6 linked regions of the Xenopus tropicalis genome follow. The protein of the gene in region 2 binds, or shares a complex with, the protein of the main gene of each other region. Links are inferred from orthologs where the notes say so. Each region holds a gene or a part of one and is shown on either strand. Other genes may lie near its edges. The genes, in order: cnot2, cnot9, cnot8, cnot11, cnot7 and cnot10.

Region 1 (3,549 bases), on a different chromosome or scaffold from region 2:
AGTTTTCTGCCACACATAGCGTTTTGCATTTTGGCCAAAAAGTTCCATTTTGGTCTCATCTGACCAGAGCACCTTCTTCCACATGTTTGCTGTGTCCCCCACATGGCTTGTGGCAAACTGCAAACGGTACTTCTTATGGTTTGCTATTAACAATGGCTTTCTTCTTGCCACTCTTCCATAAAGGCCAACTTTGTGCAGTGCACAACTAATAGTTGTCCTATGGACAGATTCCCCCACCTGAGCTGTAGATCTCTGCAGCTCGTCCAGAGTCACCATGGGCCTCTTGGCTGCATTTCTGATCAGCGCTCTCCTTGTTCAGCCTGTGAGTTTAGGTGGACGGCCTTGTCTTGGTAGGTTTACAGTTGTGCCATACTCCTTCCATTTCTGAATGATCACTTGAACAGTGCTCCGTGGGATGTTCAAAGCTTTGGAAATCTTTTTGTAGCCTAAGCCTGCTTTAAATTTCTCAATAACTTTATCCCTGACCTGTCTGGTGTGTTCTTTGGACTTCATATGTTGTTGCTCCCAATATTCTCTTAGACAACCTCTGAGGCCGTTACAGAGCCTCTGTATTTGTACTGACATTAGATTACACACAGGGGCACTCTGTTTAGTCATTAGCACTCATCACGCAATGTCTATGGGCAACTGACTGCACTCAGACCAAAGGGGGCTGAATAATTACGCACACCCCACTTTGCAGTTATTTATTTGTAAAAAATGTTTGGAATCATGTATGATTTTCGTTCCACTTCTCACGTGTACACCACTTTGTATTGGTCTTTCACGTGGAATTCCAATAAAATTGATTCATGTTTGTGGCTGTAATGTGACAAAATGTGGAAAAGTTCAAGGGGGCCGAACACTTTTGCAAGCCACTGTACATATATATAGATACTATACTAAGAAACAGTTCTGTATATGCCTAATATATGACTTAAATCTGTCGATCTGATCAGCCTGATGTTACTTATGAAGGTCCACCGAGATATTTGTATGAATTACGGGTGCTATTGAATATATATAGAGAGTAGAACCCTGTTAGAACTACCTACGAGATTTTTGTACATTACACATTTGTTTATGTCCATTGATTTTGTCTATTTAGTTTAAGTGTTGATGTTTGAATATTTCACATATTTGGTCCGTCTTGATACACGTCACATCCTACGTCATCACCTTGTTTCCCGCCACTAAATGTATTTAGATGTGCAGTTTACACAATATGTTACTTTGAGAAAGGCTGGGAGTCCGGCCGAAACGTCAGTCTCCATTTGTGATGCGTGAATAAAACTACATTTCTTCATAAGTCCTGTGTGAAGCGGTCCTTCTGTTCGAGTATCTATGCAATTGTGATTTGGACTGCACCCAGGCCACTGATCCTGTACTTTATTGTGGGTGCTGGCTAAAATGAGGCAATATATGAACAGAGAGCTGCACACACAAGGACTTAACGATAAAGTGAAAACATTTTATTCAAAAAAATCCAACGTTTCGAGTACTAACTGTACTCTTCCTCAGGGACAAACCAAACTGGTTTGTATGTATATACATATACACATATATACACATACATATACACATATATACTGTATCTGCAAATACCTGTAGACAATACATGTACTCAAAAATTGTTGAGAACAAATAATTCCAGAATATTGCTCTACACATTTATTTTTCTTTAATAAACTATGCACATAAAACATGGAAATATTCACAGTTGCCAAGTACATGGCTTCTCATGTCACAAACTGATGCTTTAAAAAAAAAAAAAAAAAAAAAAAAAAATAAGATTAACTGTAAAATATATAATAGATCCCTATAATACAAATGTATGCCTATGCCGTTTCACTTAACTATTTTAAACTGCAAACTGGTTAAGAGCTTTTCTAACACAAACTGTAACTTCATTTTCATCATAACTTTCTTTTTATTGCTAGTCATGTTTTATTTTTCCATACCTGTTTGGAGATGGCGGTGTATGAAGCGACATTGTTGGTACCCCTGTAGTAGGCGTTACATGGTTTTGTAACTGAGTGCCTTGTGATAAGCTGCGGTTTAATTGAGGAGTATTGTTGCTCATCCCCCTCATTGGAAGGCCTAGTGCACCTGTACAATGATTAATAAGATACAAAATATATATATATCAATATATCTCATCAAGTTTCAGCATCACTTTAAAAGCAATATTTTACTTCCTCCTTAAAGGTATTAAAAGCCAGCATAGTGATCTGAGACATTATAGTTACTGCCTTTGAGCTCCACATCTGTTATTAAAAATTGCTGGTAAAATATGGCATTTTGGATTTTTTGTAACCCAGAATTTTAACATGTATTACTTTTAAAGGAGAAGGAAAGGCTAAGTCACTTGGGGGTGCCAAAATGTTAGGCACCCCCAAGTGACTTAGATCGCTTACCTTTTACCCCGGGCTGGTGCCCCTGTACGGAGAGAACAGCACCAGCCCGGGGTAGCAGCGAGCGCTTCTTCCTTCCTTTTCGCTTGCGCACGCATGCGCAGTAGAGTGAAAAGCCGAACTTAAACAAGAAAGTCGGCTTTTTACTCTACTGCGCATGCGCCGGCCAACGGATTTCGCAGGCAGAAGAAAAAGGAAGGAGGAAGCACTTCCTACAGGTACCCTGGGCTGGTGCTCTTTTCTCCTAACAGGGGCACCAGCCCAGGGTACAAGGTAAGCGATCTAAGTCACTTGGGGGTGCCTAACATTTTGGCACCCCCAAGTGACTTAGCCTTTCCTTCCCCTTTAAATGCTTTCAAGTTATCAAGTATCTTGGAAATAAATCAATAAGTATGAGGCATTTCAATGAGAAACAGCTTTACATATGCATTGTTCTGAATCTTGAACCATCAGTGTAGATAAATTCAGCTTCAAGTATGACAACATATGAGTAGTATAATTCTTTGTGACTTTCAAAATTCAATCCACTGAGTGTTCAAATAAGATCACACAATTTTACTGGCTGCTGCATAGAAATCAATATATAGATGGACTATGTGGTTAATACTAGCATTAATACTGGTCTTGGTAAAATGTATTACTGTATACCATTTGAAGAGCAAATAAATACCTGACACGTGTTGGTGTATTGCTCTTATATTTACTGAGTTGCCACTGACACAGCCAATACACCCAATTTTGGGCAAAGGCCCAAAATCAAGTAATTCATATCCTAAAAAGGCACAGCCAATAATCAAGTAAAATTGAACATGAGTAAGTGGCAACTATTAAATTTGATGTTGCTGCACCAGCTTTAATCATTCAACATGTCATGGTAGGAAGCTGGTTCCTTGGAATTTGGAGCACATTAAGTGTTTTTTTTTATGAGCTCTTTTGAATGGAAAAGCATTAAGCTTAACGATAACAAGTAAACATTATTTGTTATCTAGCAAACCTACTCATGCTAGTTCTGTTAAATCGATCACAAGAAATACATGTATTTAAATTGGGTTTGTTTTTTTCTTTATGAGAAATGCTATATAAAACATATGGAAAAAGAAGTAAAAAAAATATTGAATTACTGTATTGGGAGGGT
Region 2 (4,007 bases):
GTGGCTTCCATAAATTAATATATTTGCATTTACTGGAAAAGCCCATTTTGAAAAAAAAAAAAAAAAACTTACCCTTAATTTTTTATGTATCTATGGAATGAATAACTGATGTGCCTTGCAACACTTTGCTGCCCCTATAAGCATCCCTAGGAATATTCTTGCCCAACCCAAGACATAATTCTAATCAAACACAAATACAAAGCTATCGCTCAGTTGATCACAGAACTCAGCACAGAGGAAACAGGTTGTAGCCTCATAGTGGTCTCGAATGATATCCCAGCAACTTGATGTGCTTGGTTACTCTATAGCAACAATCGATTTGTGTGTCCTCGATTTGTGAATGCCATTCAAGGGGAAGTACTCCCACCTTGTACACCATGGGGCTGATTTACTAATCCACGAATCCGGATTGAAAAATGAACATTTTGCGACTTTTCCGTATTTTTGCGTTTTTTTTGTCGCCGTTGCGACTTTTCCGTAAATTGTTGCGACTTTTTCGTAACCGTTACGACTTGCGCGAATTGACGCGACTTTTTCATAGCCATTACAAATTTCGTGAATTGTCCCAACTTTCGTATTGAGAGCTCGAAAAAGTTGCGTCAATTCGCGAAAAAGTCGCAACAAACGTGAGTAATAAAATGCAATTGTGCATCCAAATAGCTGCAAAACAAACCTGTAGAAGTGCTGCTATTGTGACTTTTTCATTGCCATTACGACTTTCACGAATTGTCACAACTTTTTCATAGCCATTACGACTTTCGCGAATTGTTGCAACTTTCGTATTGAGAGCTCGAAAAAGTCGTGACAATTCGCGAAAAAGTCGCAACAAACGTGAGTAATAAAATGCAATTGTGCATCCAAATAGCTGCAAAACAAACCTGTAGAAGTGCTGCTATTGTGACTTTTTCATTGCCATTACGACTTTCGCGAATTGTCACAACTTTTTCATAGCCATTACGACTTTCGCGAATTGTCATAACTTTTTCATACCCATTACGACTTTCGCGAATTGTTGCAACTTTCGTACTGAGAGCTCGAAAAAGTTGCGTCAATTCGTGAAAAAGTCGCAACAAACGTGAGTAATAAAATGCAATTGTGCATCCAAATAGCTGCAAAACAAACCTGTAGAAGTGCTGCTATTGTGACTTTTTCACTGCCATTACGACTTTCGCGAATTGTCACAACTTTTTCATAGCCATTACGACTTTCGCGAATTGTCATAACTTTTTCATACCCATTACGACTTTCGCGAATTGTTGCAACTTTCGTACTGAGAGCTCGAAAAAGTCGCAACAAACGTGAGTAATAAAATGCAATTGTGCATCCAAATAGCTGCAAAACAAACCTGTAGAAGTGCTGCTATTGTGCCGAAGGAGTGCCACAGCATAGGAGCAAGGTCTGGAACGGATTCACGCTTTTTGCTGAGCTCGAGCAAGGCATTCTCGCGGGTATCAGGGCTGGACAACTCATTAATCCACTGATAGATTTTCTCTCGATCCACCTGAGCAAGAGCTGCCGGCACAGGCTGATAAAACAGAGAAACACAGATAAATGGTCAAGTACACGTGGCTTATGCACATATTCACACTAGAAATGCGCTCCATTGGCCCCATACTACATAAAATCCCGAAGGCATAGAGGCGGGGCAGGCAATATATGATTGACAGCTCGGATTTTTAATAACAATTGCTTTCACTTTCCATTCAGCACTTCCTATACATCACCTTGATGGCAAATGCATAAGATTTTGGGGTGATACAAAGCTTGCTGACTGAAGGGAAAATAAATTCAATAATTGAAATCGTGTAAGTAAAGTTTATTTTGCTGTACTAACCTGATTTAAAAGGATTTGGAATTATTTCTTGGGGTGACAGGTCCCCTTTAATTGATCAGAATTTAAGTCATGTGACATTAAGATGACATTCAGGCAAATGCCATGCTGTTTAGGTGCCCAATACCCCTTGGAAATGATTGAAACTTTTTCCTAGAACATTACAGTTATTATATTATATATATAAATGAATCACTTTGCAACTTCTAACTTGTTTAAGGAGTCAGAACCAGCAGTGCAGAGAATACAAACAAGCATACGCTGCTTTTAAAGTCAATGATAAAGAACTTTCTAGCCAATGACAACGCGTAATGAATGGACAGTAGAGAGTTGCTGAGAATTATACTTGATTTCCTTATGCACCAAACAGTAAATGAGTGAAGTTCCCCTTTAAACTCCAGAATGGAGCGGAGTAAAGGGGAATAGTATGAAATTACGGAACGCAGAGTGGATCACTTCACATCACTTCGCGGTACAAGACAGGAGCAGCCAATAAACTTTCTTTGATCAAACCCGGGACCCACAATAATAGTAACCGGACAGGCTGTGACCCTGCAGCTCATGTGGGACTACAAGTCTCTCCACACCTGAAGGATTGTCAGATATTCCTGCAATGAACCTGACCGCACCGTTCCCAATAGACAAGGGGACTCCCCCTCTCCTTACACACACACATACACTGTGGCCCCTGAGGGCCTACCTACCGCCGCCGTGGCCAGGCTGTGCATGTTCCTGAGCCCTCCTTTCCTCCCTCGGTACCGCTTACTCCCCGCTGCAAATCCTTGCACCACCCCCTTCCTTCCACGGAACCTCTCCACAACAACCGGAGCTCCGCCTCTACTCGGGACGTCATCAAACCGCGACCCACTCTGGTCAAAGCGTTACTGCCACCGTGAAACAAATAACGAAGCAAACATTTCGTCTCATGAATACATCCGGTCCCCAGATTTTGCTAACAAATTACGTTTTGAAAGCGCAGAAAGCAAGTATACGGGCAAACACCTGCGTCATCACCCTGTTCCACGCATCGACTGCTGCAGACGTCATCGCCCGGCGCCGTGGTCGGAGTGCGGCGCTGGAGGTGACGTCACGCGTCCCCTCTGGCTGTGGCGCTGTTCGCAGTGAGAGAGAGGTTCGGCTGATTCCAAGGTTCCCGCCAAATTGGTGCTTGCGTGACAGTCGGCGCTCTGAGAGAACTGGAAGGAGAGCAAGGAGAACCAGAGAAGGTGAGGGACGGGGGGCCGCCGGGAAAAGCATACAATCACAGTGACAGGAATGCGGTTTGCGGGCTATTTCTCTTGTCTTTTATCGCTTTCTGTGTGTCAATCCGACCAAGTACCCGGCGCTCTCCCTGTATTCTAGTCAGCCTGCCGCCCTCCCGCTGCTGTTCCACCGGCTCTAGTACCATTCCAAGCAAGTAGGCCGGCAGCGAACGGAGGGCCACCACTTACCCCGAAAAAGGTGAAAAAAAACTATTGGATGTATCTGGGCGATTTAGTTCTACCAGTGAAGCCTCCCATGTGAAAGCGTGTTATGGGTACAGGTATAGGACCCATTATCCAGAAAGCTCCGAATTGCGGAAAGGCTGTCTCCCATATACTCCATTTTAATCAAATAATTTACATTTTTAAAATTGATTTCCTTTTTTCTCTGTAATAATAAAACAGTACCTGTACTTGATCCCAACTAAGATATAATTACCCCTTATTGGGGCAGAACAGCCCTATTGGGTTTATTTAATGGTTAAATGATTCCCTTTTCTCTGTAATAATAAAACAGTACCTGTACTTGATCCCAACTAAGATATAATTACCCCTTATTGGGGGCAGAACAGTCCTATTGGGTTTATTTCATGGTTAAATGATTCCCTTTTCTCTGTAATAATAAAACAGTACCTGTACTTGATCCCAACTAAGATATAATTACCCCTTATTGGGGGCAGAACAGCCCTATTGGGTTTATTTCATGGTTAAATGATTTCCTTTTCTCTGTAATAATAAAACAGTACCTGTACTTGATCCCAACTAAGATATAATTACCCCTTATTGGGGCAGAACAGCCCTATTGGGTTTATTTAATGGTTAAATGATTACCTTTTCTCTGTAATAATAAAACAGTACCTGTAATTGATCCCAACTAAGATATAATTACCCCTTATTGGGGGCAGAACAGTCCT
Region 3 (4,309 bases), on a different chromosome or scaffold from region 2:
CAAATTAAGTATTATGTGCCACAGGCCAAGTTTTTAGTCTCTACTTGTCAGCTACGTCAACCTGACCTAGGATTGCTGCCTGTCTGGTTATTTGAATTTGAAAATTCAGACAGGACTCAGAAAAAAATGACGCTGTGTTCAGACAATCATCCCCATCTGGACTTATCATATTGAAAAGGCAGCAACTTTAACCAGGCCCTAGCTGCGGCCAGGGGGGACATTTTGTAACGCTCTCTGTAACGTTGCTGCACATGCACGAGTGCTCTTTTAAAGTTGCTAAATGCTGACTGTTTGCACATAATTTGCCAGAGAACCTGTAAAACCCAGGGGTAAAAGGTAAATTCCAACAAAATTGGGGGAGTTGAGAGTTATGCTTTTTAGGGTGAAGACACACTGAGCTACTAGTAGCAGCTTCTTTTTTGCACTACTAAACCCGAAAATCCCCTGCCATAGACAATACTGAGAATTGCCTCTGCTAAAACACACGTAGAGACAGTTATCAGTAAATGATCAGCACTGTCTATTTTAGTAGCCACGACAAGTAGCTGCTACTAGTAGCTCTGTGTGTCTTCACCCATATGAGGAGGGTTTATAACGTGGAGCCTGTGGGACTTCAAAATCTTCATTTTTGCATCTGGATTCAGAATGCAATGTAATGTAAATGTATAGAATTTTTACATTTTCCTTGTGCTTCTATATGGAAATAAGGGTTTGAAGCAATATCATGATAATGCAATATTTATAATTTTGAGATTCTACTCTCAAATATTATATTCAAATTCATACTTTAAAACTAAGTTTGGTTACTACAGTTAGAGTTATTACTACATACCAGGCTACTAGAAAGGAAATTGTGAAGGTAATTGCATTATTAATTGCTTTACTTCCACTTTCACCCCTAGGATCTCAGTAGTGTCAGTTTATACGCGTTTTGCACGTTTTCAATGCGTGATTAGTATACGGGTATAAATATACGTGTACATAACAAATTTCTTAACCAACAATTTTAAATTATATTATATCATATTTTATCATATGTTGACCAATACTGAATGTATAAGTTTTCAACGGCTGTTATTATTTGTACTGCAGATTATTTTTCTGCATAATGTAAATATTAATGTTTGAAAATATTTTAATGCCTTTATTTGGCTATAATGTTTAAAAAATCCCAATAAAAATGATTGAAACTACTTCCACTTTCGTCTTATTTACTTTTTGAGCTTATGTGCAACTTTTTTCTAGAATATAAATATCCTCCCCTTCAACACAATCCAATAACACAAATGGCATTTGAATACATAGTTCATAGTAATGCCTCACGAATTCTGCAAATCCAGTGCTGCGGCATAGCCTTCACGCATGCCCATTAGAGTCATTCAGTTTCCTTTCAACTGCGCATGCTCCGGGCCTACCTCGCTTGCTCGACTTCCTGGGTTCGGAACGCGTTTTTGATTGGCTTTTCGATCCTGACCATAGAGAGCAGTGGCTAGAGCGCCCGCCGAGTCAGCCATTGAACGTTACCGTAGAGTACGCACAAGTAGGAGATATACGTTCGTGCTGCCCTCTGCTTCGGGTCGGAGCCCGGGAGGTGAGATTGATCAGAAAGCCGGCTAAGGGGAGTTTTGTTTTTTAAATGCATCTGCTACGAACAGTACCCGGCAAGCGTCTCTCAAACCGTTTCCAGCCAATGTGCTGGAGACCTGCAGGATGGACATTTAAGATTTATTTCTAATATACGCTAGCCATCGGTAGCCTGTAGGCAACATCCTTATAAACCGCGTTTAATAATGTCATTACTTATAATCTGTGCTTAGTTCTTTAATTTGTGGAATGACTTACTGAAACTTGTGTCTTAGTCAGAATAGTTTATACTAGGTTGTAAGATATAAGGATATTAGGAGTCACAGTAAAGTTCCATAGACATATAAAGGAGCAATTGGCATATAACTCCTCCTTGGCTTCTAATATACTTATATTTTGCAACAGTAGGTGCATCATTTCCTATATTGTTAACAGGGAAATCTTACCACAAGGGAAGGGGGGTAGATAAATGTACAATGAATTTAAGAAATACTGTATTATTAAATGACAAAGCCAATGTTAATATATGTTTAATATATAGTGTGAAGGAAAAAAATGGCTCTTGTGTACTGTTACATGGGAGCCATACATATCCTGTAAATGATATCCTTATAAATGCTGCTTGGCAATTTAATTTCTGCCACATGGTTGCCAAAACTTGTGTCTTATAATTAAATACTTCTGTTGTAAAAAAGAAGGATATTAGAGGTCATCCCAGAGTAAAATGGCCTGTATAAAAGGACTTGGCCTTCGACCTCATGCTTTAATATAATTACATTTCTCAGTGACTTATAATATCCTTATATTTTACAATAGGGGGTACAATATTCATTATACACCATCTTCTGCAGTGAGATTATACATCATTCCCTGCCCCAGGGTACTTTCACATTCACATACAACGGTTTTCATTAGGGGCCAATTAACCTGCCTGTAGTTTTATTGCGGTGTGGAAGGAAACCACTGTAAGCATAAGGCAGTGCTGTGTCCATAAATGAACCAAGGACCTCAGGGCTGCAAGACAAAAGTGCTAACCACTGCAACAAAAATGTCCCAAGTTGTGTATTAGAACCAAAGGTAAGGTAAAAGTCAGTGGGGACCAATTAGCTAGTCACACCCAGTGAATACAATAGGTTACTTTTTACACCAGTCCGGCATTTCTCTATTGTAAAAAATGTTCTGGACTGCAGCCCCCCTACAACCAAGTTTTGAGCTTCTTAGTGAATTGTAGTAATCTGCGATCTAAACGACTGAGGCTTTTTTCTGTTGCTGATCTAAAGGGGTTAAACAAGGATGTCCTAATTGTGGCTGATCAGCCAAATTACTACTTAAAAGATGCTGGAGTTCTGCTTTGGCCAACTGACTGATTAAACTAAATATTTTATTGCATTAACTCCACACACCCTAACCATTGTGAAGTTGAAAAATGGACCAAATGGGATGAATAATCTATGTGCCCAGGCAGCTAACTCACCTGATGGATATGTAATATACTTATAGTGGTGTAGCAGTTTCATGAACTGTATTACTATAAATACTGCCAGGTGTTAGAATACTAATATACAAGGCAAGGCAAATGGTGGCAGGAGAACATTTCCCTGTATTCACCATCCGCAAGGCTAACAGGGTAGTGTTTCCCAGTGTTGCCTTTCCCTTACCTATAATTGTTTAATATGTCTTTTGATTGCAAATTCTTAATATGTTTGGGTTTCTGCAAGTTAACCTTAAAGTATATATTTTAAAATTTTTAGGTAAGAGACATCACCTCTGTCTGGGGAAAACACTGCTTGATTTTCTGTCTGTACCACACATCTCACTGGCCACCTTTCTGAATTCAAGATGCCTGCAGCAGTGGTAGATAATAGCCAAGTGATATGTGAGGTGTGGGCTGTCAACTTGGAGGAGGAGATGCATAAAATTAGAGAGCTTGTTCGCACTTATGGCTACATAGCAATGGTAAGTCTACATTAAACTGACACTTTGTCTGCGTGGGTATATTATTATATTACCCCCTTATCCCAGTTGCAATTGAGATGTATAGGGTTTTGGCTTTTGACAGGCCTATTGGGATTCATCAGGATTGCTGGTTGACTCTGACTAAAGGTGCCCATACACGTGAAGATTTGCTCGCTTGGCGATGTCGCCAAGCAAGCGGATCTTCACCTGATATCCCCACCTACGGGGGGGGAGATATCGGGGAACATGTAGGCTAATTTGATCCCTGGGGCCAAATGATTGAATTATAATGGCGGTCCCCGGTCCGACTAAATCTTTTAACCTGCCCGACCGTTGTTTCTGCCCCTACATGGCCTACAGTCGGGCCGTGTATGTGGACCTTCACTCTTTTTTGTGCACAAGTAGTGTCTGTGATCATAAGCCTTAAGTCTGTTTTAAGTATAAGTAGGGCTTGTGTCAAAAATGCATTGTGCACATTCCTTTAATACAAAAATATAATCAAGAGAGTTATAGAGATATAAAGGAAAATAACAACATATGTATAATTTAACCCCACCCTATCCCACAATGCTGCCTATGTAATATGCTAAGAGAAGGAGTTTGTTCTCTATACAGGAGTTTAACTGGTACAGGTGGTAACTACCCCTTTCCACAGCTGCTCTGAAGATCTTAGTAGGTAGGATCGAGTGTAAAGGTCAATGTGCCACAATGTATTTAGAGCCCTATTTATTGGATTTATATTGAACTTGGGTACATTTGTAAGCTTATT
Region 4 (3,549 bases), on a different chromosome or scaffold from region 2:
GCTAACTCATCCTCACAAACATGAAGAGGAGGTGGGGGACGGATAAATTCTGGGCGAAAGTGGCCTAGAAACATCACAAAGACAGGTTCAGATACACTGTGTGTGAGTATCAGCAATTTTTAATATTGCAACTTTATTTGTGTGCAATTCATAATTAGCAAAGGACAGATATAAAGATATCAGGTCTTCATAAGATAACTATACTAAATGCTAGTCAAATCCTGCAGTGCTGTACATTATGGATACTGGATAGGATCTGTGACCACTTTTATTAATAAGGTCTTTTATAAAGATAGCTTGAATCTTGGCCATAAAGTGTGACGGATACGGTTTTTGAAGCAAACTAATAAGACATTTCAATACACTTCTTACAGTAGTTTTTCAAAATGTATGTATATTTAACTACTTAACTAAATATAAAACCTTGGTTTTAGACACATATACAAACAATAAAACAAAACGTACTTTCAATTGGTGGTTTTGGGCCGCTGACTAATGCTTCTATTATTTGCGATGCAACAGAACTGTCAAAGCCGGAATTGGAAGAATCTGGGTCTGGGTCACTAAGAATACTGGGAAAGCTGGCTTTGCTCTGTGTTGGGAGCTCAGACTGGCGCTCTGGAGGGAAATAGAAAGTCAGCAGATACAACAAAGTAAGCTTTAAAATAAAAAAAACAAAAAACAATCACTCTAATTTTTAAAAATGATTTCCTTTTTCTCAGCAATAAAACAGTACCTTGTACTAAAGGAGCAGCAAAAAAATTCTACTTAAGTTTACTTGACTTAAGTTTAAATGATTATTAGCAGATGTAAGGTATAGTGATTCGAATTACATAATCTCTTATCCAGAAACCCCAGAAAATTATCTCTCACTGAACAAATACCCTGTTTATAGTGGAGAGTGGGGAATTACTGCTTTATAATGGCAAAAGTAATGCTCAGCATATGTTTGTTAACATGTTGAGCCTTTATGAGACAGCTTTAGCCCCAATATGTTCATCTGAATGTTTTCGAATGCCTTACCAGCAAGAGCTAACTGTAGTCCACTAATGTCCACTGGTTGAGCCAAACTGGTCACATCCATCACAGCAATCTGCCTGGGTGTCTTTTTAAATAGCTCCCTTGGTGGTGCCAACATCAACTGTGAGAGGAAAAATTTTTCTGGTGGAGTAATTGGAGGCAGAAATCCTGTAAAACCAATAGATATATAACACATATGTTGTATATTGATTTCCACATTTATTTGCACCATCAAGCAAAATGATAAAGGAAGAAATATAAAATACATATAAACACAAATACTGGTATCTTTTATAAGAAATATTACTTTACCTACCCAGCATTACAAGAACAATAACTATAATATAAAGAGGAATCACATAAACAAGACTTCCTGTTACTTTTAAGTATTACAATCACTGACAATGGAACTTTTATGCATGTTATCTTGAAATGTCCCTCTGTCCAAAGGTATTGGCAAAAGTACTCTAGTTCCTGATCATGAACTAGCACTACCAAATCTTTTGCGTCAAGAGTTTGTCCATTGCAGATAATTTGTTACCTAATTCACACTCATTCACTACTGCTCATTATTCTATACCAAGAAGCTGGTTGCAATGACATGGATGGGCCTTACTGGGCTGATTCTTACCAGATGGAAAGCCTTAGTAAACAAACAAACAAACATTCTTTTATAAACTGACACAATGCAAGAGGAGCTCCATATAAATTTAACAAAATAAGGAGCCCATTGCTGGACTCACTGAGCCCTTGCGTCAGTTCTTGAGGCACGACGCCAGATCACGGGACTACTTAGAGTCAGGGAGAAAATATAAAACAAGTTTATGCAAATGACCTGCTGCTAAACCATTTGCCTCACTAGGTTTGGCCAATACTCAGTGGAGTAATACAATTATCAGAATAGTTACATACCGTATATACTCAAGTATAAGCCGACGTACCTAAGAAAACTGGAAAAACTTATTGACTCAAGTATAAGCCTAGGGTGGGAAATACAGCAGCTACTGCTAAGTTTTAATAATTAAAATAAATACCAATAAAATTACATAAATTGAGGTATCAGTGGGGTATATGTTTTTCAATATTTATTTCAAAGAAAAACAGTAAACTAGCTCTGTAAGTGGAGAAGAGGGTCAACAAAAACAATATGAGTACTACCCTATGCTCATTGCACATTGGCAAACTGGCAGCAGACCGGGTCCCGGAGGAGATGTAAGGGCAAATAAGTATTGCTAGTGGGAGCCTAGGCCAGGGCACTGGAGGGTCTGGTTGCAGGTGGCCTAATTTGCACACAAAGGAGAGAGGGTGCTAGTCTAGACGGACCCATGGGTGCTGAAAAACTAGGCTTATACTTGAGTATATAAAGTAGTTAAGTTGGGTTCAAAAAAGACCACCAAGTTCAAGTGAACCAGTTTACACATATAGACACATACTGACCTATCTATCCACTCACGTACATAAACTATATATACCAACATTAATACTAACTGTAGATATTAGTATCACAATAGCCTTGGATACTATGCTTGTTCAAGAACTCATCCAAGCCCCTCTTATAGGCATTAACAGAGTCTGCCATTACCACATCACTAGGAAGGGCATTCCCCAACCTCACTGCCCTCGTAAAAAAACCACCTACGCTGCTTCAAATGAAAGCTCCGTTCCTCTAATCTAAAGGGGTGGCCTCTGGTGTGCGGATTGTTTTTATGGGATCTTGGTTTAGATACTATATTTTGTGTCTAGAAAGAACATGCGCAGTGAAAATGTCCTAGTTACCAAAAACTTTTTTTTTTTTTTTAAATAGAGTTAAGTTAAGCTTTAGTTCTCCTTTAAAATTGATTGGATCCTAAAATTGCACTAAGGAAAGTTAACTCTCTACTATAAAAATATCTGTAGGGGTTTTATGTCCAAGTTATTACCCATTTTATAAGGCTGCTCATATTAGAGCACTTATGAAATAGTTCCACCCTGGAAAATCTTTCCCTTGGCTACATAATAGGAAATGTCAGGTTTTCTGCCAGAAATAAACACTAATAGTCTTTCCCAAAAAGAGAAAAACAATCTAATCACAGTATAATATTGGAAACCAATTATATAAAATAATTTAACTGCTCCAAATCCTATTGCACCATATCTCCCCAAAAACACTACTGTAGCTTTAGTCTCTGGTACTAGATGCAGCATATTCTGAGGTGGATAACAGGATTTTACTAGAATTACCAAGAAGGCTAAACAACATACATACTGTATCTAGAAACCTGTTAACTAGAAAGCTCTGAAATACAGAAAGGCCATTTCCAACAGATGCCAATATAATCAAATAATTCAGAAATAATTGAAAAAAATGATTTCCTTTTTCTCTGTAATATCAAAACAGTACTGTACCATGAATTTGATCCTAATTAAGATATAATGAATCCTTATTGGAAGCAGAACAATCCTATTGGGTTTATTCAATGTTAAAATGATTTTTAGTAGACTAGGCATGGTGATCAAAATTACAGAAAGATCCCTTATCTTGAAAAACAC
Region 5 (4,153 bases), on a different chromosome or scaffold from region 2:
CTGGCCGACATTTTCTTACCAACTGAAGACACTTTGGGTCTCACCGCCGATACGAACCTGCTTGCGCATGAGTAGTTGTAGGTAGCAGGAAATCTGCTTCAACTGCGCATTCTCAAGCAGGTTAGGTGTCGGCTGTGAGACCCAAAGAGTCTTCAGTCGGTAAGATGTTGGCGAGGTACGCGGTTGCGCTTGTCTGCATTTTTAGCTAGCAGTCAGCAATAGGGACAGAGTGTAAACTTGAAAACAATGCGATATGGGAGAGGTGGGGGGGGGGTCTAGGCAAAGAGTGCCATCCGGAAGTAAAGTTCTCCTTTAAAAATATGTTAATCAAAGTCCCTGAAACAGCACCGTGTGCCACTATTCTAAGAGTTTTAGTTGCTACCTAGCCTACCCAATGGCAGGCACCTTACCAGACCATGGCCACCATACACCTTTAGCAGTTGAGCCCATGGATCTTTACTATCATAAAGCTGCTACAATTAGCTTAGAATAGAAAATACAGCATTTCTAGCCATATTCTTTTTTTTTAGGCTTTAGTTCTACTTAGAAATATCTTTAACAAATAAGTGCAGTAAGCAGCCTGACTTGTTTCTACACACTAGAAAAATTATAACTGCAATATAAACCGAACCCATTGTACTGGACAAAAAAAATATTAATATTTTAATGTAAACAAGTACTTATATTGCATATTAAAGTAAATTAATTATTCTATTATTGTTATGTCACACGAAACATTGGGCCATTAGAGTCTATAGTTGATATAATATTACCCTGACAGCGGAAGCAGTGTGGCAGATACTGCAAGCAAGGATTGCTTATAAACAGTAAATAGGTTCCCCTTTGAGGAGACTCAAAAATCTATAAAATCTTAAATATTCCTGAACTCTTAATGCCAATTTCAAAAATGAAAAACATTTTTGGAGGGGAAACAAACATCCTAAACATACCATTGCAACATAATTATACTTGCGTATAACTTGGCGGATTCTCTTCATTTGATCATCCAGGTTGCAAGCCCAGACTTCGCAAATTCGCTGGCTGAGGTCCACTGTTGCAGCTGGCATAGTGGGTCTGGGGGACTGACTCAGAGGCAGGCATCAAAATTTTGCAATTAGCTATTAAAGGGTTTCATAGGTGGTAGGCCGAGGCCGAAATCAGCTGCTAAATCTAAAATTAAAAGAAGAATAGTTTTTATTTTACTAACAAATAAAAAATAATATACCGGTATAATACTAGCAGGCAGAACATATCAGGAAATGCCAAGAAAGGGGAAAGGTGGCCCATGTGCATGCCACCACCTTTTGAACAATATGCACTTTGTGCAATACATTTTATATTAGGAATGGGGATCCTCTGACTATGGAGTGTGTTTGGTCCATGACATTACCCAAAAATTGATTTTTGTATTTTGCCCATATATGGTGATCCATTGTTAATATGAGTTAGGGGAAGTTGTGGTTGAAGCACAAAAGTGTATAAATAGAATATTTCTTCTCTCTACCCATGGTAATAGTTGTAAAGCCATCTTTTAAGTCAACACTGTGGCTTCTTTAGGGAGTAGCATAATTCTATTTTGCCTTAGTGCTCTATACAGCAAGGCCCAGCAATCTGAGCTTTCTGGCCCATCACTAAGCAGAGATAATGAACACAGCTGGTACTGTTAGGCTTCAACTGGGTAGTAATAATGTAGGCTAGCAGTATTATTACAACTCTTGGAAAGTGACCATACCAGAGTTCTATACATAAGAATCTCTAGGTGCCACCCTGGATGCAGACCATGTTTTATGCAGATCATGTGTTAAAGGGGCAGTATATGCCAATATACAACATTAGCAAAATAAATAGAACATATGCAAATAATACAGCATATCATTGAACATATCAACTGAAAAAATTGCATATTTCTTAGTGATAACATTATAATAAATCAGAAATGAAGCATTTGTTTTCTCCTATGCTTACTCTCTTACCATTAATTAGATGAGTTAGTTTATCTAGATATACTGAGCTCTGTATAAACAACCCTCATCCCATCACCCTTTGTTATGTCTAGTTTGGCTTACAGGTTGGCAGGATTTCCTTTGTGCACTGATAATGATCTGCCTCACAAAACATGCATGAGCTTCAGTTGACTGTTTAGCACAGAAAACATCAAAAACAATAAATGTTTCCTGATTAAAACAGACAAAAAGTATGATCAGCACAAGTTCTATTCATTGCAATCATAATGAACAAGGGGGTATACTGCCCCTTTAATAAAAGCCAGAAATGAATGGGGAGAAGCAGGTCTCCCTGAACTGTCTTGCGGGGTAGACAGGAAGATGTCCAGCTGCACTTGTTGCTGAAGCGTATCCTTTGGCTGATGAAGGATGCTGGGTAATGTAGTTTACGAGCTAGGGGTTCGCCACACAGCTGCCAATAAAAGCTGTTCAGGTGCAAGTATCCCTTCTGCGTCCCTTGTGATTGAACGAGCTGGAGGCTCCCCGACTGGATACTGGCCCATAGTCACGGTATGTGCGCTAAGCACCAATGCCTACTGATGCTTGTGACAGACAATACAGCCGCCTCTGGTTGTGCCCAGTGTGTGTGTGTGTGCCATCCCACTGCTCCGTATCCGTTCTGTAAGGCTCACAGCCCGACACTATCCCTGCCCTACCTAAGATAAGTCTGGCCGCTGCCGGTCTGTCACTTCACGACCGCGCTCCCAGGGCTCGCACAGGAGATTACCGAGGCCCCTACACGTCATGCGAGCGACGCGCCAGTCCCACGGCAGGTTCCTGCTAACCTCCTCCCGGACGCACTTGGATGACGTCAAGCCGCCACAAAGGCGTGGAAAACCATCCCCTTCTCAAGCTGGTAGGTGACATGATGTCACAGGCTGTGCGTCATACGGCGCGACCCATGGAGAGTGAAAGTAAGTGGCAACTGGGATTGTGCTTGATGGGATAAACACACAACTGTCTATCTAGTATGTGTGTGCAGGTATGTGACAACTGCGTGTATGGCTTCTCTCAGATATCATGGTGCGTAGGGAAGGTTACATACATGTTGTGTAGCACGGCAAGGGACAACTGGGGGTGTAAGAGGAAGTGACAGCCGACTGTATCTTGCGGTTTTATTTAATGTTATCTGAGTGAGGGTTGAAGGTTAATAAGGTACACTTAGAAATTGGGGGGGTGTTAATAAGGTACACTTATGAAGTGGGGGGGAATGTTAATAAGGTACACTTATGAAGTGGGGGGGAATGTTAATAAGGTACACTTATGAAGTGGGGGGGGAAGGTTAATAAGGTACACTTATGAAGTGGGGGGGAATGTTAATAAGGTACACTTATGAAGTGGGGGGGAATGTTAATAAGGTACACTTATGAAGTGGGGGGAATGTTAATAAGGTACACTTATGAAGTGGGGGGAATGTTAATAAGGTACACTTATGAAGTGGGGGGGAATGTTAATAAGGTACACTTATGAAGTAAGGGGAAGGTTAATAAGGTACACTTATGAAGTGGGGGGGGAAGGTTAATAAGGTACACTTATGAAGTGGGGGGGAAGGTTAATAAGGTACACTTATGAAGTGGGGGGGGAAGGTTAATAAGGTACACTTATGAAGTGGGGGGGGAATGTTAATAAGGTACACTTATGAAGTGGGGGGGGAATGTTAATAAGGTACACTTATGAAGTGGGGGGGAATGTTAATAAGGTACACTTATGAAGTGGGGGGGAATGTTAATAAGGTACACTTATGAAGTGGGGGGAATGTTAATAAGGTACACTTATGAAGTGGGGGGGAAGGTTAATAAGGTACACTTATGAAGTGGGGGGGAAGGTTAATAAGGTACACTTATGAAGTGGGGGGGGAAGGTTAATAAGGTACACTTATGAAGTGGGGGGAATGTTAATAAGGTACACTTATGAAGTGGGGGGGGAATGTTAATAAGGTACACTTATGAAGTGGGGGGGGAATGTTAATAAGGTACACTTATGAAGTGGGGGGGAATGTTAATAAGGTACACTTATGAAGTGGGGGGGAATGATAATAAGGTACACTTATGAAGTAAGGGGAAGGTTAATAAGGTACACTTGTGAAGTGGGGGGAATGTTAATAAGGTACACTTATGAAGTGGGGGGAATGTTAAAAAGGTACACTTATG
Region 6 (3,418 bases), on a different chromosome or scaffold from region 2:
GGAAAGGCTAATAAAGAGTTCTCTTTAGTTCTCTCAATAGTGCCATTAAGTCTCCCCATATTTCTCCTGTTCAGATGATCAGAAGCCAAACAGGAAGAAAAAATGCTGAGCTGTGTAAAGAAAGTTCCCATAATGCCTCGCTCCTGCACCAAGAGCAAGAGAAGGGAGTGAGTTCTTAGCATTCTTGAGGGAGGGGGGAGAGATGAGAGAGCTGCGTGTCTCTGGCAGAAGAAAACAGACACAACAAATCTTTTGACAGAGAACTCAGTGCAGCGTTTCTGTGAGTGCTTATGGCTGTATTTACATAGACCCTTCTGATAAAGCTTACTTAGTTTTTACCTTCCTTTAAACTTATCTAGCTTGCTATTATCTGGCTTTATATATCATGTTGTACACTGCGCACAGAGCCAACCCCTATATCAAGCTCTGTGCTCAATGGCAAGTACTGGTCAACTTAAACTAGCCAGTTAAATTGGCCCTTAAGATATTCTATACCCACAATAACCATTCCCATCTCCAACCATTACTACACACACACACAAGTGAGCAAGAAAATACTTTTAATATACCAGTGTTATCCTAATCTGACCATATGATGGCTTTACATTTTTTTTTATATATAAAAGTCATGACTTCTTCCATTCCTTACAAAAACAAGGATGAAATCCCATGTCAAAGGTCACAGGGCATGATTTCCTACTTGGTTAAAATTGATGAACCTGGCACATGTGATCCTTTGTACATTATGTATACTGTGGATAAAGCAGGAGTGAAGTATGCCAAGAACATTCGCCAGATCACTGAGTAATTGAGTTGAATGGTTTGAGGCCATGTTCTCTACAAGTCCCTGGACCACCATAAATCATTTTCTCTGAACAGCAGTAAAAGCTGGCATCTGAATTGGCTGCATTGGCTGCATTGGCTGATGCATTGTCTGGAATAATGGCTTCTTTCGAAGATCTGACATCATTCTGATGGACGGGAGAAGCTGATTCCTTTTGATGATCTGCAAGGCCAGCTGGGTATTGCCTACAAAAACAAAAATAAATACAGTGCTTTGAGCAGAAAGATTGGTTTTATTTGGCTTTGGATGTTTCAACATTTTACAAAATGCTTTGACCCGAACAACCATTACACTTAAACCAGCCTATTGTTGTGCCTTAGATTTATGTTGTTCTTTTATACCAGATACAGAATATTTTATTGTTGTTTGATGCTGATCAGCTAAAATCTGAATTAATCAATATTTAAACGTCCGCAACCAAAGCTGAAAATAAAATAAATCTGATTTCAAGGTTTAGGGAAGGCCTTCACAGTCCCCAGATTACTGTTATAGTTAGTTTTAGGGTCGACACACAGTGCTTGTGCACAACCAAAGAATATTTCTGAACAAGAAGTGTTCTGCAAGGAAGACTTTTAGGGCTCGTACTCACACGTGTTTCTTTCTGTGCTGCCTGACAGTGGCGTTCTCCTACGTTCCACCGCGGGGGGAGCACAGGAAGAAGTGCTTCCCATTCTTCCTTATGGGTCTGTACTAATGTTGCATTCCCCTGCTTTTGGTGCTGACCTGTGCCTGCGTTAGTACAGCCCCATTAGGAAGAAAGGGTTGCACTTATCCCTGTGCTCCCCTGCGGTGGAACGTAGGAGAACGCCACTGTCGAGCAGCACAGAAAGAAATGTGTGAGAGTACAAGCCCTTATCTAGCTAGCATGTACAGTTCAATTTCATTTAACACTTTATTTTCTTCAATATTAGGTTTATTTCTGTTATTACAGTAAATGCTCTGTACTCTGATGCTGAGTGTGTGCATCCAAAATCCCAGCCATACAGCAAAACATGGGTATATTTCTGCCAAACTTCAACACGCAAACACAAAAGTAGGCTTTACCTTTTTTCCCTAGTATATCATTTTGTCCCAAAAGTAAACAAAATGTATGTTTCCAATTAATTTCAGGTAAATGTATGGGTTCTGTCATCCAGAAAGCTCCAAATTATGGGAAGGCCAGCTCCGATGTCCTCCATTATAATCAAATAATTCAAAATTTTACAAAATTCTTTTTTCTCTTTATTAATAAAACCGTACCTTGTACTTGGTCCAAACTAAGAAATAATGAATCCATATTGGATGCAAAACAATAATTTTTGGTTTATTTAGTGTTTAAATGATTTTTAGTAGACTTAATGTATGGGGTTCCAAATTATGGAAAGATCCCTTATTGAGAAAACCCCAGATCCCAAGCATTCTGGATAACAGGTCCCTGACAACTGAATCACTTAACATCTTTATAATGGCCAAGCCTAGTACTGCCCACTTTTAGGTCTAATTTGTTTAAATGGAATCAATCCATGGGGAGCAGCAGAACCCATTTTATAGGAGCTAGGATTACACAAAGGAAAATGTGGATGCTGGATGCAAATATTTTTCAAGGTCTAATAGAGAATGTGTCTGGGAATAGCATAATGCAATAACGTGCCAATATATTAATGTCAGAATGCCTGTTCCAGTGTAAATATGATCTCATGGCAATGCCATCTGTCAGAGAGACAACCACAGTGGAGCGTTTGTGAACATTGATTTTCTTGAATGGGAACCCTAGTGGGTAAATGTATCATGCAAGGAAACTTTAATGATTCAAGTATGGCACCAGGGAATGCCCATGAGGATCGGGATATGAAGCAATTTGGATATTCACTTAAATGATGTTACATTTATAAAATATGCATGGGATATGGATTCTACTCCTCTGCTGGAACCTTTGCATACTTATTTCATGCAAGCAGAAAGCGTAGATCGGAAGCACAGATATAAGGAGCAATGGAGAGAGAGGTTTCGCAGCTGTGGACCCATGCAATTACACAAATGTACAACTCGAATTACTTTCAGTAGAAATATGGATTTCAGTCATATATAGAAAGCCTTTAGAAAATGAGTAAAAACACTTCAGAATTTCCCCCACCAACACTTAAATTAAATGACATTTAAAAGAGAAAAGAGAATAAAAAAATTAACCCTGGTGCTGCCAGTAGGCAAATAACACGATTCCTATAGCTACAGTGAGGAACATATTTGAACACCCTGCGATTTTGCAAGTTCTCCCACTTAGAAATCATGGCGGGGTCTGAAACTCACATTGTAGGTGCATTCCCACTGTGAGAGACAGCATTTAAAAAAAAAATTCAGGACATAATATTGTATGATTTTTAAAGAATATTTTTGTATTTCACTGCTGCACATAACTATTTGAACACCTGAGAAAATCAGTGTTAATATTTGGTACAGAAACCTTTGTTTGCAATTACAGAGGCCAAACATTTCCTGTAGTTCTTGACCAGGTTTGCACACACTGCAACAGGGATTTTGTCCCACTCCTCCACACAGATCTCCTCTAGATCTGTCAGGTTTCGGGGCTGTCGCTGA

The links.
Region 1: cnot9 (region 2) and cnot2 share a complex: the UniProt entries of both Homo sapiens proteins name them as parts of the CCR4-NOT complex. The link is inferred for Xenopus tropicalis from reciprocal best matches to the Homo sapiens genes CNOT9 and CNOT2.
Region 3: cnot9 (region 2) and cnot8 share a complex: the UniProt entries of both Homo sapiens proteins name them as parts of the CCR4-NOT complex. The link is inferred for Xenopus tropicalis from reciprocal best matches to the Homo sapiens genes CNOT9 and CNOT8.
Region 4: cnot9 (region 2) and cnot11 share a complex: the UniProt entries of both Homo sapiens proteins name them as parts of the CCR4-NOT complex. The link is inferred for Xenopus tropicalis from reciprocal best matches to the Homo sapiens genes CNOT9 and CNOT11.
Region 5: cnot9 (region 2) and cnot7 share a complex: the UniProt entries of both Homo sapiens proteins name them as parts of the CCR4-NOT complex. The link is inferred for Xenopus tropicalis from reciprocal best matches to the Homo sapiens genes CNOT9 and CNOT7.
Region 6: cnot9 (region 2) and cnot10 share a complex: the UniProt entries of both Homo sapiens proteins name them as parts of the CCR4-NOT complex. The link is inferred for Xenopus tropicalis from reciprocal best matches to the Homo sapiens genes CNOT9 and CNOT10.

What each region holds. Positions count from the first base shown.
Region 1 is NC_030679.2:59,337,285-59,340,833, reverse strand, and holds part of cnot2 (CCR4-NOT transcription complex subunit 2), read right to left. Parts: intron 2,110-3,549; coding exon 1,962-2,109; intron 1-1,961. UniProt on the Homo sapiens protein: Component of the CCR4-NOT complex which is one of the major cellular mRNA deadenylases and is linked to various cellular processes including bulk mRNA degradation, miRNA-mediated repression, translational repression during translational initiation and general transcription regulation.
Region 2 is NC_030685.2:82,339,218-82,343,224, reverse strand, and holds the start of cnot9 (CCR4-NOT transcription complex subunit 9), read right to left. Parts: upstream 2,825-4,007; 5' UTR 2,560-2,824; coding exon 2,536-2,559; intron 1,526-2,535; coding exon 1,346-1,525; intron 1-1,345. UniProt on the Homo sapiens protein: Component of the CCR4-NOT complex which is one of the major cellular mRNA deadenylases and is linked to various cellular processes including bulk mRNA degradation, miRNA-mediated repression, translational repression during translational initiation and general transcription regulation.
Region 3 is NC_030679.2:19,855,410-19,859,718, forward strand, and holds the start of cnot8 (CCR4-NOT transcription complex subunit 8), read left to right. Parts: upstream 1-1,507; 5' UTR 1,508-1,591; intron 1,592-1,734; exon of another isoform or gene 1,735-1,758; intron 1,759-3,335; 5' UTR 3,336-3,423; coding exon 3,424-3,540; intron 3,541-4,309. UniProt on the Homo sapiens protein: Has 3'-5' poly(A) exoribonuclease activity for synthetic poly(A) RNA substrate. Its function seems to be partially redundant with that of CNOT7.
Region 4 is NC_030678.2:110,381,381-110,384,929, reverse strand, and holds part of cnot11 (CCR4-NOT transcription complex subunit 11), read right to left. Parts: intron 1,189-3,549; coding exon 1,024-1,188; intron 619-1,023; coding exon 466-618; intron 65-465; coding exon 1-64. UniProt on the Homo sapiens protein: Component of the CCR4-NOT complex which is one of the major cellular mRNA deadenylases and is linked to various cellular processes including bulk mRNA degradation, miRNA-mediated repression, translational repression during translational initiation and general transcription regulation.
Region 5 is NC_030677.2:42,300,002-42,304,154, forward strand, and holds the start of cnot7 (CCR4-NOT transcription complex subunit 7), read right to left. Parts: upstream 2,803-4,153; 5' UTR 2,660-2,802; intron 2,653-2,659; exon of another isoform or gene 1,974-2,652; intron 1,171-1,973; 5' UTR 1,068-1,170; coding exon 951-1,067; intron 1-950. UniProt on the Homo sapiens protein: Has 3'-5' poly(A) exoribonuclease activity for synthetic poly(A) RNA substrate. Its function seems to be partially redundant with that of CNOT8.
Region 6 is NC_030682.2:50,256,218-50,259,635, reverse strand, and holds the end of cnot10 (CCR4-NOT transcription complex subunit 10), read right to left. Parts: intron 1,030-3,418; coding exon 863-1,029; 3' UTR 544-862; downstream 1-543. UniProt on the Homo sapiens protein: Component of the CCR4-NOT complex which is one of the major cellular mRNA deadenylases and is linked to various cellular processes including bulk mRNA degradation, miRNA-mediated repression, translational repression during translational initiation and general transcription regulation.